Linked DNA regions of Caenorhabditis elegans. The protein of the gene in region 2 purifies or fractionates together with the protein of the main gene of each other region. This does not show direct contact. Each region holds a gene or a part of one and is shown on either strand. Other genes may lie near its edges.

Region 1 (9,955 bases), on a different chromosome or scaffold from region 2:
TCAAAAAATTTTCGTATCGTTTTCGTTGAGAGTAAGAAATTGGCAAATCTTCAGTTTTTGGCAGTTTTTTACAAAAATTTAGCAATATCGAATGTTCGAATTCACACAGTGTTAGAATCAGGGGTGGGTGGCAAACGATTTTTCTAGCTAATTGGCAAATTGCCGGAATTGAAATTTCCGACAAGTCGGAAAATTGCCGGAATTGCCGAATACTTTCGGAAAGTTGTGGTCTCGCACATTTTTTTTTAGAAATTTCGGAATTTCAATTTTAAGCGGCAAAATTGTACGCATCCTGTGAATGTTCCTTCATCTATTTTGAGAAGTAAGCAAACATCTTCCGGCAAATCGGCAAACCGGCAATTTGCCCATTTGCCCAGTTTGCCGCTTACCCTGTTCTGAATATTTATTTTTAGAAACATAAATAGACCATAAAAATCAAAAAAAAAATTTTGAGAGATGACTTCCAAAACAATGACAAGCAGTAGTTAACACTTTTTGAAACAAATTGAAAAACTTTTTTGAAGTGTTTTGTTATGATACATAATTATTTTAACATCGATTATTTCCCCACTGACCGTACTTTATCTTTAAAAAACTATGAAAAACTTGAAAACTAAACTGAAAAGCACGTTTTTCAAATATATAGCGGCAGTAGACGTTGAGTTCGTGGCTTTTGTTCAGAATTATGAGGGAATATAAAATATTCACGTGAGAGAAAATATCCTCAATACATCTCTCAATGTTAAAGAAATCCACTAGATATGTGTGGTTTTACCATAAGCTTTTGCATGCTATCTTAACATAAAAATCTTTTCAAACGAAATATTTAAAATATTATTGCATTTCGAAAACTCACTTTCCATTTGTGAAATTGGCATGCGAAAAACAATGAGCGTTATCCGTGCACGTGTATTCAAATGCAGTATTGAAAACATCGGCTGGATACCGCTTACCGTAGTTGCAGCCGGGAAAGTAGTAACATTTTATGCTAATAAATGAGAAAAAACAGTGGAATTGATGAACAATAAACATTGATTCAATATTTTATCATTATCAATTTTATGTAGTGTCTTTTCTTCGAGCATGAAGAGGAAAAGTGGGAAAGATAAGAGTCTAGAGATGTTTTGATTCTTTGCGTAAAAGTAGGAATTATAGAGACTAGGTGAAAAATAAAAACAACATTGTTTGTTTTTGATAAGTGGTGAATAAATGTTTAAAGGTTTAATACTACTCCTATGGTGCTAAAATAACCAAATATCATATCATAGAACAACTTTTCAAAAAAATTAGAAATGTTTTATTTATTAACGAAGTGTAGCAATTACCCAGTTTTTGTCCCTTATGATTTTGGAAATCAACAAAAAAAACTTTCTACGATTTTCATATTTTAATTTTAATTTGGTTTTTTTTCTGTTAAAACATTCCATACGACATTCAAAAATGATGGTAACTTGCCAAAACGTTGACTAAAAATGTGAGTGGTTTATTATGATATTCGGCCGCTTTGGAATCATATAAGTGAATTTTGAGAAAATCCCCAGAAAAATTCCCCAATGGAGCTAGGCCCCTTTATATAGAAGATTAGTCAGCTCAAAATAGGCACCGAATATATTAAGTTTTGTTTATATAAACAAAGACGATTTTATTTTTATTATTCAAACTTTTCAAATTTGGAAAATATTCTTCACTTTATTTTGTTGAAAAAATAAACCTTAAAAAAATAAGAAATACAAGTTAAACAGTCAACTATTATTGATCGTTGACTCTAGCAGTGAAAATTTGAAAAAAAAAATCACCGTAAACCCGAATGAGAGAGATTGAAAACAATTACATAAAAATAAATGTACAAAAGTTTCAGATATGACACTACGAACATTAGAACATGAGATGTGTTTTGCTCTTTCCTGACGCAATCTTAATGGATCCACTTTTTTGCACTCCGATTTTCCTTCTCACCACGTACCACTCGACAAGAAGAGCAGTGATGACAAGTGCCAAGCAGACCAGAAATAGGTTTCGTGCCCACCTGAAATGATTGAAAATATATTTTCCATACCTATACCATACCTATACCATACCTATACCATACCTATACCATACCTATACCATACCTATACCATACCTATACCATACCTATACCATACCTATACCATACCTATACCATACCTATACCATACCTATACCATACCTATACCATACCTATAACATACCTTTGCCATACCTATAACATACCTTTGCCATACCTATAACATACCTTTGCCATACCTATACCACACCGATACCACACCGATACCACACCGATACCATACCTACACTATTCCAAGGCTGTTTTCCCAAACCATATCCCCTTCACAACCAAGAATCAGCTCCAATAACTTACATTGGAACGGAATGATCTCTCTGTTCACCGTTCAGCTCGTAATAATCTTTCAGTGCATATCCCACATCATCCACCAGATCCTCGATAACCTTTGCTAGTGGCCAGCCTTAAACAATACACCGTTTCTGGTTAGCATTCAGTTATGCGCGTACCTTGCACCAACGCATTGTTGACTTCACTTTGTATGTTTGGAAGTAACATTCGAAGACGATGTGAGCCTGGAATAATTGAGTTGATCGAAGTCATAAGTTTTGAGTTTTGCTCGAGTTTGAAATGTACCTGTGTGCAATCTCACGTATGGAATTTTTCTGGCGTCATTCACAACTCCATCGATTACAACAAGCTGGAAAACATATTTGGAAGGAGTGAATGGATAGAATGGCATCACTTACCGCTAGCAAATTTGTCTTGGTGCAAGATTCTCCGACACCAAACCATCGCTCATATACTTTCCACGAATAAACCTGAAATATACAATTTTTGATTTCAGCCAAGTACACACGAATATCACAGCTTCTGCATCTTATTATCATTGAAGCTTTTTTTAAAACCAGTCCGCAATAATTTGCCATACCGTATTTTTTCGATTAGAATAACTGCAATGCTATTTCACCAAAATATTTTTCCTCATAAAATTGATCTGTAAATTTGCCGTTGAAGGAGAACTAAATTGTTGCTATATTTTAAAAGTGTTGCTATATTTTAAAAGTGTTGCTATATTTTAAATAACAAGTTTTTCTAAACAAATCAAATATCAATATGAGACTTATCAAAAGCTTCCCAAAAACTTTTCAAAACGGTTAAAAATGTTTTCAAACAATTGTGCTAATGCTAGCTGAAACCCTAAATTTTGCAAAATTTCCCATGTCACAGCTGTCGGAAATTAATGTTTATTTTATTATAATCCTTAAAATTTACCTAAATTAATATATAAAGACCGAATTATACAGTTAATAAAAATAAAATCTTATGAAATTCAATGTGCAATCTTTATCACATCTAGGTGCCACAAAAAAGTTTGCAAAATTTAAGATTGCATCTAAAATTAGCTGATTTTTTTTTTAAATCTTTAACCGTCAGAAAAAATTATAAATTAAAAAAAAAAGTTTTATAACGAAGTTAGTTCATTTGAGCACATTTTGAATCTATACATTAAGTCTATACATGGGGATTTACTGAGATATCTGAATATTTTTATTTTGTGAACTCCATTCTTCAAAAATAGATTTTATTGGAAACCGTTTAGCACTGCATTCAATTTCGTTTTTGTATCTCACGCAGGAAGTATTTTTCTCAGAAAACGTTTTGCTACATTCTGAGAGTCCCTCAACTCAAGATTCATCATTTCTAGCACGTGTTGAAGATGTGCCCACTTTGCGCACTGCAACCACTTCACCCAAAAAAAGAGCGATACTTGCGTGCAATGTGGAAAACGTGATAGAAAATTGGCTCATAATGATTCAGTTCCCCTTCCTGTCCCCACTTTGCAAGCTCAACTTTGGACTAACCCCCTCCCCCCTCCCGCTAAAAACGTATACTTTTTGAAACCTCCGACCACACCGACCTACCCGTAGGAACTTCCGCACATTTCCGACAATTCCAGTCACCATGTCCCCGTCAATCTGGTCGCATTCGTTATCAAAGAGACAAGCGTACTCGGTTTTTTTCATGACATCATTTGCAGAAGCAGGCTGCTCCAGTTGTTTTGCTGGAAAAAATATAATTTCGTTGGACAAGAGAGAGGCAGGTGTATTTCTCAACTGATTATGACGGCAAGTGTTGAAGTATTGCCGTTTGTGAAGAGTGATCGATACCTGAAAATTGGGTGTTAAGATTGAAAAAAAAGAATTGTTTATACTTATTATAAGCTTTTTCAATTCCATAAACATTTGTGTAAGCCAGTTGGTGATGAAGATCGCACACAAACGGAAGTCGAGGAATTGTGTAGCAAACCGATCGGTGCTGAAATTAGGTAGATTTGAATGAGTTGCAGAAACAGAATATATATTTAATTTTTGAAATCAAAATTAAAAATTCGCGAACTGTTGAATCAAATATAGATTTGTCCTTTGTCATCTGAGAAAATAAATTCCAATTTATTTTCCTATAGTCTTGTAGATACCGTATATTTTCAATTCATGCGGCAACCCTTTTTTTATTGCAATTTTTTTTTGTGAAACCTCATTAGTTTCGACATTTTGGAAACTTTTTCTGAACATGTTTTAATGATTCTTTGTTAATTCACAAAATGAATTTAAAAAATTAAATATTAAATTCAGGCCTAAAATATGAGTTTTTGTGACTGAGAGCTAGTGATCTACAACTGAAAAGAGGTTTTTGAAAATCAGTACTGCAGTCTCTAATAGTGCTGCATTCAAAAAGGACCTTAAAATTAGTGACGGTACTCATTTTAATACCGTGAAAATTAACCGCGGCATAGGCCGATAAAAAAGAGCCCCGTTGCGATTTTAATAGGGAAAATACGGAAAATTGAATAATTTTTCCAAAGGTCACTGTTGTAACTTACTACTGCAAATTTATTTGCTTTGTAACGTTCTTAATATGTAGTAGAAATTTACAATTTCACCCCCGTGACCTTCCTCACATATGCATAACATATTCTGTCGGGTTTTGAGTACGTAGTGACTTTTTTCATGAATATATGCTTGACAAGTGTTTCACATGGCTCGCATCAACTAAAATGGATGTGGTGGTCGTTTCTTTCCTTTTCACAATAAAATATGATGGAAGACGTCAAATAAATACATGTGTATGTATATATCATTTTTTTTGAGTCGCGTGCCTTTTTGTCTGCATAACTTTTTTTTTTGGTCTACAGAGATGAGCTGACAATTTGGAGGAGAATCAAAATTACTCCTATGCTAAAAATACATTTCAGGTTTTTTCTATAAATCTCAAGAAGTTTAGGGAGTTTGCAAAATGTTTTTGACAATTTTGACAATTGTTGATTTCAGATCAAACTCTTCTTTTCACAAAGTTTTTCGGCTCCTCAGTCCTTCAAAAAAAAATTGTGAACTTTTTGCGACACAATAAACGAGGGTCCTTGAGCAACCTGGAAGGAAGCATAAGCAGAAGAAAGGCAGGGAGGGGGGACACAATTTCTTTTTTGTTGTCGCCGAGGAATTTCCTTTTCTTCTATTTGTGGTTTTCAATACAAAAGAGAAAAGGAGTTTGAGTTTTTCGGCTTTCACAAATTGCGTTTACGGGGCGGCGAGACGATGTTGTTCACCTTGTGGTTTCCAAAGGAGACCACAAGAATGACTAATGTCGTTCACGCAGTTCACCGGGTAGGTCTTGACTTTAAAATTTGAGTGTCAAATTTTGAATCACAAGTCAAAAGTTCGAAACTATGGGGTTTCCTCCCTCTAGTGCACAATTAAATCTCTGAAAAAAAAACTCGAAATTCGTCATTCTTCCGGATATCGCCAGAGTAAATCTAAGACTACGGACACAAAAAAAACAACGATTGTCTTTCACTTGATTGGTTTCATAAGGATGAGCAAATGCTCAATATGCAAATAGAAAAAAAAAGCACGACGTCTTCGTCTTTTCCACGCGGCTTTCCTTTCTCATCCTTCTTCCTCGACGAGTTTTGGAGGGCCGTTCAACTTTTCGCAAAGTATATAGAAAAAGGAGAAAGGAGGAGAAGTATAGTGGAAAAAAGTAGGATACGGCGCAGAAAAAATATATATATATATATATAAACAATAAAGCAATACTGAGCAGCAAAAAATAATTGGGTTTCTAATTGCAAGGTTTACGAACGCTTGAGTGATTTGTGGGGCACATGGAACGAAGGCTACCCCTCCTAGGGCAAAACAGAGGGAATGTATAATTTATCTTATTTTTGCATTTTCAGAACGAACAATGCTAATTATTTTTCCTTTTTTCTCATTCTTCCTACCTCAGTTTTTCTAGAAAAGAAATTGGAAATTTGAAGCTAAAGCTTTTTTGGTTCTTAAAAGTTGAGGGGAGATTTTAAAGTTCAGCAAATAAAAAAATAAAACATGAAAAAGTTGAACTCACAAAACTAGGTTCGGTGATCGGAGATGGGAAGTTGCATGGTGAAAATATGGGAGGCACAGGAATCTGACCCCCTTGGGCATAGACCGTCAGAAGGCAGATGACGAGTAGCTTGCGCATCATATTGCCATGAGAGTTAGGACATTGTGTGCTCCACACCAATAATATGCTCTGCCAAAAACGACGACGGCGGCGGCGACCGACTGATTCACCAAAACCCGAGGAGTTGCTCTCTGTGTGCTTCGCCCGACGACGGTCGTGTCCGAAGCGCGCGCAGGCAGCGCCGCCAATGCGCTCCGCCCACTTTGGCGCCGACTGAGGAGGCTAGGAGACATTGGGCAATAGGAAAACGGGGGGAAGCTTATAGTAGTGAACACTGGACTTGAAAACATTTCTCCCAAGGGGTACGCCACACACTAAGAGAATTCACGATTAACGTACGTACAAACATTCTATTTCGATACTTGTTCTTGCTCTTGTCCTTGTTCTCAGTGACAAGTCCAGGTTGCTTAATTGAGTTTTTTTCTTAGAGAAGTGCGTCTTTCCTTTCCTTTTTTCATTTTCTTCATACTTCGCACTTTTTATAGCTAGAGACCAAGTTTTTGGAAGTGATGTATTGGGTAGTAATAAAGTTGAGTACTCATGAATATTAATGGAAAGACGAGTTAATGATTGTAAATATTTCTGACGCGAAAACACAAGATCTTTCAGAAAAGGAGTGATCTATCTTCCAAATACAGGGATTCAGTTTTTTTGGTACCTGTCTCAGAAATTTTTTTCAATTTCCACTCACCTGATAATTTAATCAAAATGGGAAATTGATTTGCATTCTCAGGTTAAGAAAACACTAATACTAAAACTAAAAAATTACGTTGAATTTTAAAAATGATAAACATATTTGGTGCAGGTTTACCTTGAAAGTACCTACATTCATTCAGTATCACAAATAAATTCTCGAGGTATTCCATTCAAAATTTGTAGAAGTCAAGATCCCAAAGTAGTGTTTCAAATATTTACTCAAATTTCACCCCATATACTGAGAATGTTGAATTATTCATTACTGTGTACTCTCTCTCTCTCACGCCTAGAATTTCAGAAATGTTTCTGCAGTTTTTTGGACAAAACCGAATCAAATTTTATCTGGTCCATTTATTTTTTTCCATGCTTCAATTTTATTTTAAAAAGTGAAAACTCACTTGGCAACACACTATACGTCATCTCATCTAAAGCTTCATTTGAGACGGGCGTTGCCTAGTCTTCCCGAGGGAGATCTCAAGAAAATGTGCTCTCTGAAAGATTGCAACTCGCGCTGCTGTTGAATTTCATAACTCACGGGGAGGGCACCTGCAAATAAAGTGCATTTGAAAAAGCACGCTTGTGATTAGGAACCAGATGTAGTTGTGCTCTCTTCCAATTCTCAAGTGTAATTCAATCCAGCACGGAGGTAAAGGTACTCCATGTCATTTTAGAGCACTCTTCGCTTTTATTGGCGTGTCTCTGATGCACTTACTACAAACCACAAAGCACCAACGAAATTCAAGAGGGGACGGAAGTCAGGCTCGTACGCGTCTTCAAAAAAAAAATTCCGCAACGTAGTCTGTTCATCTCTTTTACACATACTCATTTTGACTCGTTCTAACTAAATCCAACGAAACACTTTTAGCTCCAGGTTTTTAGAAGCTTTGCAAGACAAAAAAAACCGGGCCGAAAAATAATTTCCTGTAAAGTCATTGTGCAGTCGGAGACTCCTAAAAGAAGGAAAGCAATTTTCCACAAGAAAACGACAAAGAAGCCACATTCACAATGAACCGAACCATTTATTGCTTTTGTAAGTACCAACTAATGTTAACTCGATATTAACTTTACGATAACACAGCAGTAGTGGAAAACAGGAAATTTGGAGGAAATTTCCGAAGAAAATTTTTTGAAGGGAATAAGCAGAGGTAAACGTTTTTCGTTCAATGACTTTATTATTTCAAACGACGGGAACACATTTTCCATCATCTTCGGAGCAAAGAGGGTTATTAAAATGCACGTTTTGTTACAATAAAATAAATAATTCAAAATGAAACTCGGAAAATGTTTCATTCATTGTGATTTTGAGGATAAATTTTGTAAAGTTATAAAACATTGAATTTTTCCGTTTAATTAAAGGCGGAGTGCGGAAGTATCATGGTACAACTTTTCAGAACAAAAATTGGAGAATTTTTATTTTAAGTCAAAAAATGGCGAAAACGGAGTTTGCGCCACTTCTCGAAATATCTAAAGCACTGGCGCATGTTTGAACCCCAACATTGCTAAAATATAAGAGTTTGGAACATAATTCAAACTGGAAGAAAAATACGTTTTTTTTATTAGCGATTTCCACAGATATATAAACATTTCACCGCTATCTAACTTGAAATAAAAAATGTTGCCAAAAATTTGGAAAAGTTTTATTATGCATGTTTGGCTATTTGAATACCATAGGAATGGTTTTTTAAAATATTTTTCCACTGGACGTACTTCACCTATAACTAAAACTTGTCGTTGCTTTGGTATCACACTATATTTGTGAAAAAATGTAAAAAATGTTTCATGTTTCATTGCAAACCATGTATTTTTTCTGTGAATCTTTGTTTGTAAAATTTCAAAAATTTCAGTTTCTTTATCAAATAAGCAATATTCGAAGAATGCTGTAGATCATAGCGTTGTTTCACAAAAAGGAACCTAAAAGCCGTCATAGTTTGCAATGTATTTTTTCTTTCAGATTATGTTCTCAATAAACTTTTTTTTTTGAATTTTAGTTCTCGAAAATAATCAGTACCAGTGTATTACAAAAGTTTCAATTTACATCAGCAAACTTTCGAACAATTTCCTAGAATTCTGTTTTTGGCATAAAAAGTTTGCCGTGCTTACTATTAGTAAGCAATTTATCAAGCTAGGCGACTCTATTTTATTTCTGAATTGATCTCAATTAATTACTCATCTAAAAATATTCCAACTGCACGATTTGAAGATGGATGAGTATGAATTGAAAACTCTTTATAGTCATGTACACCTTGCATGTTGACGGAAGCTATCAGAAACCAGCAAATAATTTATTTTTATAACACATTATTAATTTGTTTTCAATTATTTTTTTTGCACAATTTTTGTTTGGCTTACACGTTGAAAATGCGGAATTTGAGTGATTTGAGAAAGGAGTTCAGTAGATCAATTGAGATCAAAAATACAACAAAAACAATGAGAAATGCTGAGAGAACATGTAATAGTTTGACAAACAGGTTTGAAGAGAAGCAAGTATCCGTACCTAGTGCTAAATTTTATGAGATGTAAAATTAAGCTTCGTCATCTGAAATACATCTCGAAACATGACGATTGCTGCTTGAAATTACAGTATTCCTTGGAGATCCGTTGGTTTCATAAATTGATGTTGCCAAGTAGAAAGCATTACACGCGAACTGCGAGAAGTACATCATTTGTGCGATTGCTGAAAAAATTTTGAAAATCACTCTGTTATGACAGGGCTTATTTTTAATAACGTCTACA
Region 2 (7,557 bases):
GTTGTTGGAAGCACGAATACATCCATACACATTACACCATATCGTAGAAGACGTTCGAATAAATCTCGCTCCTTCGAACAATGATACATATCCTGTGATGGCCGGGCGATTCTCAATTGTCCTGTCACGAATTTACACGTATGCATTATATACTTCACAAGATTTCGAGCTTCAACAATTGCCAATGGAGGAGGTGTCATCGTTGACATGGCGGTTAAAATCGCTTCGGGAGACGTTTTCTTTCCCTCTTTTGTTGGCGGAGGAAGCTTGTTCGGATCTCCACCACTCTCATCTGCATCTTCCGACGTGGATGGTTCTGATGCCAGGAATTCCAGCTCTTCAACTGAATCAATGGAGAGCCGACGGATTCTTCGTTTCGGTACTCCTCGTATAGTGTCCTTTGGGATATTCATTCCAGGTTTCTCGGCGTCTCTCTCATAACTTTTGTATTCGTAGTCTATTTCGGTTCCGTATTGTTGGAAGAGAATAGGCATGTGATAGACTGCAAGAGTTTTGAGCTTGGCCACGTGCGACTCCAGGATTTCAATGAGCAGATCACGAGTCTGAAACTTATTTCGAAGTGAGATACGATTATTGATAGAATAAGTCTTACGGTATCATGTGAATCCATTTTGCACAGAGATTCGGCCAGTGAGTTGAGCAGCCGAGCAGACATAATCTGGACTTGAGAAGAGTTGTTAGGATCGTGAAGAGTGCGACAGAATACGAAAATCACGCTGAAATTTCAACATTTTTCATCAGAAAGTCTTATTCAAACTTACTGTGTGATCATTTCATAGTCTATAGAATTTCGCATGTGATGCAACAGATCTGCTAGCATTTGATACATGAAAACTCGCAAATGCTCAATCGCAGTGAATCCTGTTCCCAGAACAACCTCCTCAGCGATGAGTCGAGGTAGCATTGGAAAGAATTTCGACTTCATTTCTCCAGATGTGAAATACTTCAAAGCCATCAGAACTTCTCGTCGGACACTTATCAGATCAGCCGGGCACCGCTCGAGCATCTGCATTGTTCCCGACACTAGAAGCGGTCCATTTTGCATGATAAGATCCATAAACTGAAAAATAAAAATCAGGATTACAGAAAAAAAACTTGAAAAAACGAAACTTACCGCTGGAATCTTAGCCATAATGTTGACGAATGACAGGAATCGGGACTGTGCACTGACAAAATCATCGGTTATTATTTGATTTGTTTTGAGTTTATCCTCGTCTGGAACTCTGACATTTAGAAAATCAAGACCAAGCCTCATGAAATCAAGCGCTTCGGTTTGGATCGCTGTTTTGAAATGTTGATAGAAGAAAATCACGAGATACGGAACCTCCAGGAGCACCTTCGTTGACTGATGAGCTGATGGAATCATATTGTATTTTAATGGCGGTTTTCCTTCCGTTCCGTTGAGAAGAACCGTTTGTTGATAGTAGCAAGTCTTCAAATATTCAGTGATGACTTGCTCGTCGGAGCTAGTTGACGGTGGAGCTTTATGCTCTTTTATGTTGAACATATCACCAGCTCGACCACTCGCCGTCAGATCAATGACCATTGTTTTGAAGGAGACCATTATCTGTGAAACCTCTCCGCAATATTGCATTTTGCCGGTACTTCTCCCTTGATCGGTGACAATTTTGATAGCCAAATTGGCATTCTCCTCATTTTCCACGGTGATTAGCCTCATCATCTGCTTGATAATTTCTTTGCTATGATGTTTCATGGCTTCTACGTTCGAAAGTCGAAGAATGATTTCAAGCATTAACTTTCGAAGCTGTTGTGTATTGTTTTCAGCAATGAACTGTGGACTTGTGTTGCAGAAAACTTGTAGGAACGAGAGAATGAGCCTCTCCACGACTTTCTCGTGCGAACTTAGTGTGAAATGATTTTCGATTGTGCTCCAAATCTCCTGCAACCGAACAAATTGATTACTTAACACGAATTATTGAAACTAACTTGTAACATTTTCAATTTGACATCATCTCTTTGTGAATTATCGGCAAGATTTTGAATTCTCGTTTCCAGCTCTGTTAGGTGATTACTCCGATCGGACTGCACAGACCGATAGCCTGGAGAAGCCATAGCCGGATCCATTTTGTATTAGTGACCAGCACTGAAGATACTTCTAAACTATTGAGCTTTGTGCAACTATTTGAATAATTTATCTGAAACAAGATTTACGTGTTTAATTCACTAAATTGCGAAGGAAACAGATTATAAAATGAAGAATGGAGTAGAATGAACTATTAGGAAGTGAATGCAACAAGAAAAATCAGTCAGAAAACGCTGAAATTATCGGAAAACTGACATTATTTCAGCAGAAACAAAGAAACAACTAAATTTCAAACGAGAGCGAATTGTCTGCTGACGCGTATGTGTGTGTGTTGGCGCACTCGCGGTTGTTGGCGCATTTCACGTGCATTGCCACGAACGAGAGAGGAGATTTTATTGAATAAAAAAGATGTGACCTGATTAATATTTGACCCTTTCTTGACTTTTTCTTTTATTTTTATGATTATTAACAGTGTAATAACAAATTTCAGACACATGGGATCAGTTATAACCAAGGAAACGGTCTTACAGGAGAATATTTATCTGAAGAAACTCAGCGGTTTGGAACCTGTCGACGATTATGACCCATTTTGGAACAAACTTCTCTCTTTCAGTCTCAAGTTTGATGATGACGACGAGTAAGGATTAAAATTAGGCAAAAGCTTTAAAAATGTTATAATCGTTTAGAGACACCCGAATCGCTTTGGAATCTGCTTTAGATGATCATCTTCAATGTCTAATGTACAATACACAAACAACAGGAAATTTCGCTGCATTTATTCGACTTTTCCTTCGCAGAGCCACAGAACTAAAAACATCAGAACAATGCGAAAAGTGAGTTGGAAAAAAAAATCATCATTATATTTAATTAAAGCTTTTTCTTATTTCAGTAAAATCTACTTATGGCAAACATCAAACGCTCTTCTCATTCTTCGTTACATCGCCAGATTTTTAACTCAACGTATGACGGAAAAAGAATTCGTGAGGATTTTCGCCAAAAGTCATGAGAGTACGGAAACCGAATCGTCGTCTACATCTTCCTCGTCGGATGAGGAAGATGATGACGAACAGAAATCAGAAAACGAAAATAATAATGGAGGTAAATAAGCTTCATTTAAAAAAAAAATTCAATAATAATCAAATTCTGACGTTTTCAGCGACAAAATATATCCCGATAGTTTTTCAAAACACTGCAGAAGAGTTCACGTATGAGCTGGTTTCGATTTTAATCAATATTTCTGTAAAGTGAGTTTTAAATTATTTTTTAAAAAATTGAATTAAAATAATTTCAGCGAAACAACATTGGCAATCCATGTCGAAGCAGTTCGATGTCTCCTAACTCTCCTGAGCTCTCAACTATATAATGAATCAATTGTGAATACTTCAATTGTCTTCAGATTCTTTATTGATGGATCATGTGCGAAACACGCAGCTTCGCTCACTAAAACTCTTCTTCTCAATTATTTGATCCACAATTCAGAGTATCACATGACTGTACAAAAGCCACAAGAGAGCATTGTTTTTGGATTAGCTTGTATGTCACTGAAAATCTTTTTTAATTCTTTATTAAATTAAAAAAAAAACACGATTTTTAAGCATCAATGTGGTCAATGGTCCAAATGGCAACTGGTATCGACTCCGCAGAGGAAGAAAAGAAGCCCCCACTTACTCTTGGAAACTTAAGCATCCTGCTTCTCCTCAATCTTTCATGCCATCAACCTCTCAATTCATCCAATCCATTCAAAGAAACCCTTGCTCTCTTCCAAAATGCTCAAGAAGTATCCACATTGCCTACTCAGATTGTGTCGTTCAAAATCGATTATAATGGATTATACGAAAGATTGTGTGCTACCGCTGGCCAGGAACCTCCGATGCTTCTACTCTACATGCTTCTACAGGCGAACTCGGGATTCCGGAACTATGTGTTGTCTCGGATCAACCTCGAGAATCTAGTTGTTCCTGTTCTTCGAATTCTTCACGACGGTGTCGCGACATCGAACAACTCTCACCATGTTTATCTTGCATTGATTGTCGCCTTGATTCTCAGTGAAGATGATATTTTCTGCAAGATTATACACGAGACGGTGAGTTTTCACTAGAAATGCTAAGATTATATTGAAGTATATATTTGCAGATGATCAAGGATCTCGGCTGGCTGGACAGTGATTTCAGTGTCCGCGAGATCTCTCTCGGAGGTTTGACAACTCTTGTGCTGGTTCGAGCAATTCAGAAGAATGCTTTGAAAACTAGAGTTAGTTGTTGCTACCAAGGGTGTCATTTTTCAATTTTTTTTTCGATTTTTTGACGTTTTTCAGTGGAAATCGAAAAATCGAAAAAAATGTTCAGAAAATTAACCATAAAATATGATTTTTTATCTAATTTTGTTTATATTGATAAGAACAAACATAAAAGTTTCATCTAAAAAGAAGAATAATGGCCAATATATCAAGCTCCTTTTTTAAAAATCGAAAAATCGAACAATTGAAAAAGCGAAAAACCGACAGTTGCTACCTGAAGATACAAAATTTTGTTTTTTTTTAAACCAAACTCAAATTTTTCCAGGACCGATATCTTCACACAAACTGCTTAGCTGCTCTTGCAAACATGTCAGCTTTCTTCAAAAATCTTGCTCCAATTGTTTGCCAAAGACTCATATCACTGCTTGATCTTCTAACAAAACGGCATGCTAAAATGGTGGATCATATGAGAGTCAGCAGTCAGAATGATGTTGCAGATGGACAGCCGATCAATTTCGTAAGTTCATATTTTGTTCAAAAATCCAAATAAAAAGTATAATATTTCAGCATGACGACATTACTGCTCTCGAAGAAGGAATTCGAACTCTCCTTGAGATCATCAACAGTGCACTTTGTGGAGGACTCCGTCACAATTCACACCTCATCTACAACCTTCTCTACCATCGTGCTCTATTCGATGCATACGTTCAGCACCCAATGTTCCAAGATCTTCTTGTTAACATCGCAGCAGTAATCTCTCACTTCTCGTCGAAAGTGATACATGTCCCAGCAGGCGATGGATCCACAATGCTGCAAATAATCGAGAAGGAGGCAAACATATGGCCAACCGATCGACTCGCAAAGTTCCCAGAATTGAAGTTCCGATACGTGGAGGATGAGTACACTGTCGATTTCTTTGTGCCATACGTCTGGAGGCTATCTGTTCAACATTCGGGAATCTACTTCGAAACATCAAGAATCAAAATATTTAACGCCCAAAGTATTGCTTGACCCTCAAATTGTTTTATTAATCGGTAAGCATAATGCCGGTAGTATTTATTCGGACGCAAATATTGATAAGTGGCCTTATTCATGTGATGATCATAAGATACCATAATAATGTACAATAAATCTATTATCTAATTGAGTTCAGAGTCCTTTGTTGTAGTACACCACTTTCGGGGGATTTGCCAACTTGTTGATATGATCTTGAAGTGAAAGCTCCAGCTTATCAACTTGAATTGAGCTTTTCTGTGGGAAAAGAGCACAACAAATTGGTGTGGAAAAAGCCAACATGAATCCACAGAGCAATGTTTGAAGAGGTGCAGCCATTCCAGGTGTATACCATGCAGTTTTGGAAAGTTGCTCCAAGATCACTGGTCCTAGAACCATATTTGGAACCGCCATTCCAACACGACTGAGCACAACTTGTGGAATAGCATGACCAGGTGCAACTGTTGAAAATCCCATTGTTCTACCTTCACCATCTTCAACTGGAATTCCATTTGTAAATTCTCTGAAACAAATAAATTATTAAAATGTCTTTTAATCTGATTCTCACTTGTTTCTCATCATAGGAATATTAATTGCATTGGCGAATGCAATAGCAGCAAATGGAACGAGACGAGCAAGAATCGGCGGAGCATTTTTCCACTTTTTGAGCATATAATTGAATGAAAGAGCACAAGAAAGAGCTCCAGTAGTGGCACCGCAATACGAAAGAATCAAGGTTCTATCATCCTGTTTGTGGGTTCCGCTCCGGTTTGTGTAGTTGACGATGGCGTTGAATGATTGATTGACCCAATGGAAGAAGATCACATGGGGAAGTCTGGAAATATAATTATTTGTTTAATTGCTTGTGAAATAATGCAATTTTTGTAGCCCCGGCACGGAATTCTGGCTTCCCTCATAAATCGAAATGGCAGAGTTTGCCGAACTAGGCCATTTTGGGTCAGAGAGATTTTGTGTAGATTTACGGCGCGTTGCGTGTCGCGTCGCGGCTCGTTTTTAGTTGTAAAACTGCTGTATTTGTCCGTGTGGAGTACACGAAACTTTTCCACGCGCTGTCCGGCGGGCGATTGTCAATGGGGTGCGAAAATTCAATAAGAAAGGCCAGAACCCCGTGCCCCGGGTCTTGAAACGAGCGAAACTTTGTCAGCTACCGTACTCACAAGTATTTCGCAACTTCCACTTGATTTGTTTTAAAGTTTCCAACGTTGTCCAGCAAAAAATATTATTTTTAGTTATCAAAACTACATAGAATATCATAAGCACAAAATTTTGGGATTCGTGCGCCAAAAATACGCAACCCGGTAACGACAAGAAACGTTTTTGTGAAATACAACAGTGTGTGCGCCTTTAAAGAGTACTGTAGCTTCGAATGTCTGTTGTTGCGGAGTTTTAATATACAGTACTCCTTGACAGCTTCCACCCTTTCTCATTAAACAAAAACAATTATCGTGCCGAGTCCAGGTACCGTATTTTTGGTGCAAACATCGGAAAATTCTGCTTCCGGGTAAGAAGAGTTGCGGGTACGGTAGCAGACAATTTGTGTTCGTGTCATTCGTGCCAGGACCCGCCAAAACGCACTTCTGATAAAAAGTGAGCATTCCTCCGGTAATAAGCATATTACACGGCACTTGAGCACTCATTCTGCCCAAAATGAACATCTTCTCTCCGGTGTCGGGATGGAATGCCGAGTCGTAGAGTGTCTTTGCCTTCCACAACTCATCCACAGTCATATTCGGATCATATTTTCCCTGCTTGTACTCCAGAACAATGTTGCGAGCCTTTTCCAACTTTGCATTGCTGACGAAAAGGTTCAAGCAATTTGCAGTTGAGAAGAAGTAATTGACTCTTCCTGAATTTAAAAACAAATGTTTTTTTTTAATTCTGAAAATATTCAAACCTTGAAAAGTGTTCTGATCCCATCGTGGTCTTGAGATGTCTGGAAGCTCCGTGCATTTTGACAAGATTTGCGTCATTTTAGATTCGAAAAGGTGAGGAATAGGAGAAATAGTTGGAAAGTGTGATAGTAACGAGCAAAATGAGTAGATGGGAGAGGGGTCACGTTTAAATGTGAAATGGGATAATTTTACTGAAAGCTTTTTTCCCTGGGGAGGTTTCCCAAATGTCTTTTTTAAAAAAATTTCATCCAGTTGGGGCTTCACGTGGCCACATCATGTCTGTAAAATAAATAAAAACTAATTGCTCAAGTGTAAATTTTGGTTAATGTGCTCAAACTTGCTCTCTATCC

Evidence for each region.
Region 1: the proteins of C47D12.2 (region 2) and AH9.6 fractionate together in Caenorhabditis elegans (co-fractionation; one large-scale study listed by BioGRID). This does not show direct contact.

What each region holds. Positions count from the first base shown.
Region 1 is NC_003284.9:2,261,499-2,271,453, forward strand, and holds AH9.6 (uncharacterized protein), read right to left. Parts: upstream 6,641-9,955; 5' UTR 6,548-6,640; coding exon 6,428-6,547; intron 4,343-6,427; coding exon 4,239-4,342; intron 4,195-4,238; coding exon 4,142-4,194; intron 4,089-4,141; coding exon 3,949-4,088; intron 2,845-3,948; coding exon 2,773-2,844; intron 2,724-2,772; coding exon 2,660-2,723; intron 2,599-2,659; coding exon 2,533-2,598; intron 2,487-2,532; coding exon 2,381-2,486; intron 2,027-2,380; coding exon 1,876-2,026; 3' UTR 1,668-1,875; downstream 1-1,667. Other genes in the region: putative G-protein coupled receptor AH9.4, read right to left, coding at 9,745-9,896.
Region 2 is NC_003280.10:11,673,751-11,681,307, forward strand, and holds C47D12.2 (Dymeclin), read left to right. Parts: upstream 1-2,555; 5' UTR 2,556-2,559; coding exon 2,560-2,702; intron 2,703-2,751; coding exon 2,752-2,898; intron 2,899-2,954; coding exon 2,955-3,163; intron 3,164-3,221; coding exon 3,222-3,309; intron 3,310-3,356; coding exon 3,357-3,598; intron 3,599-3,660; coding exon 3,661-4,148; intron 4,149-4,198; coding exon 4,199-4,315; intron 4,316-4,626; coding exon 4,627-4,818; intron 4,819-4,868; coding exon 4,869-5,312; 3' UTR 5,313-5,447; downstream 5,448-7,557. Other genes in the region: trr-1 (Transcription-associated protein 1), read right to left, coding at 1-569, 614-737, 783-1,081, 1,136-1,921, 1,969-2,106; sfxn-1.4 (Sidoreflexin), read right to left, coding at 5,451-5,817, 5,863-6,129, 6,891-7,161, 7,210-7,285.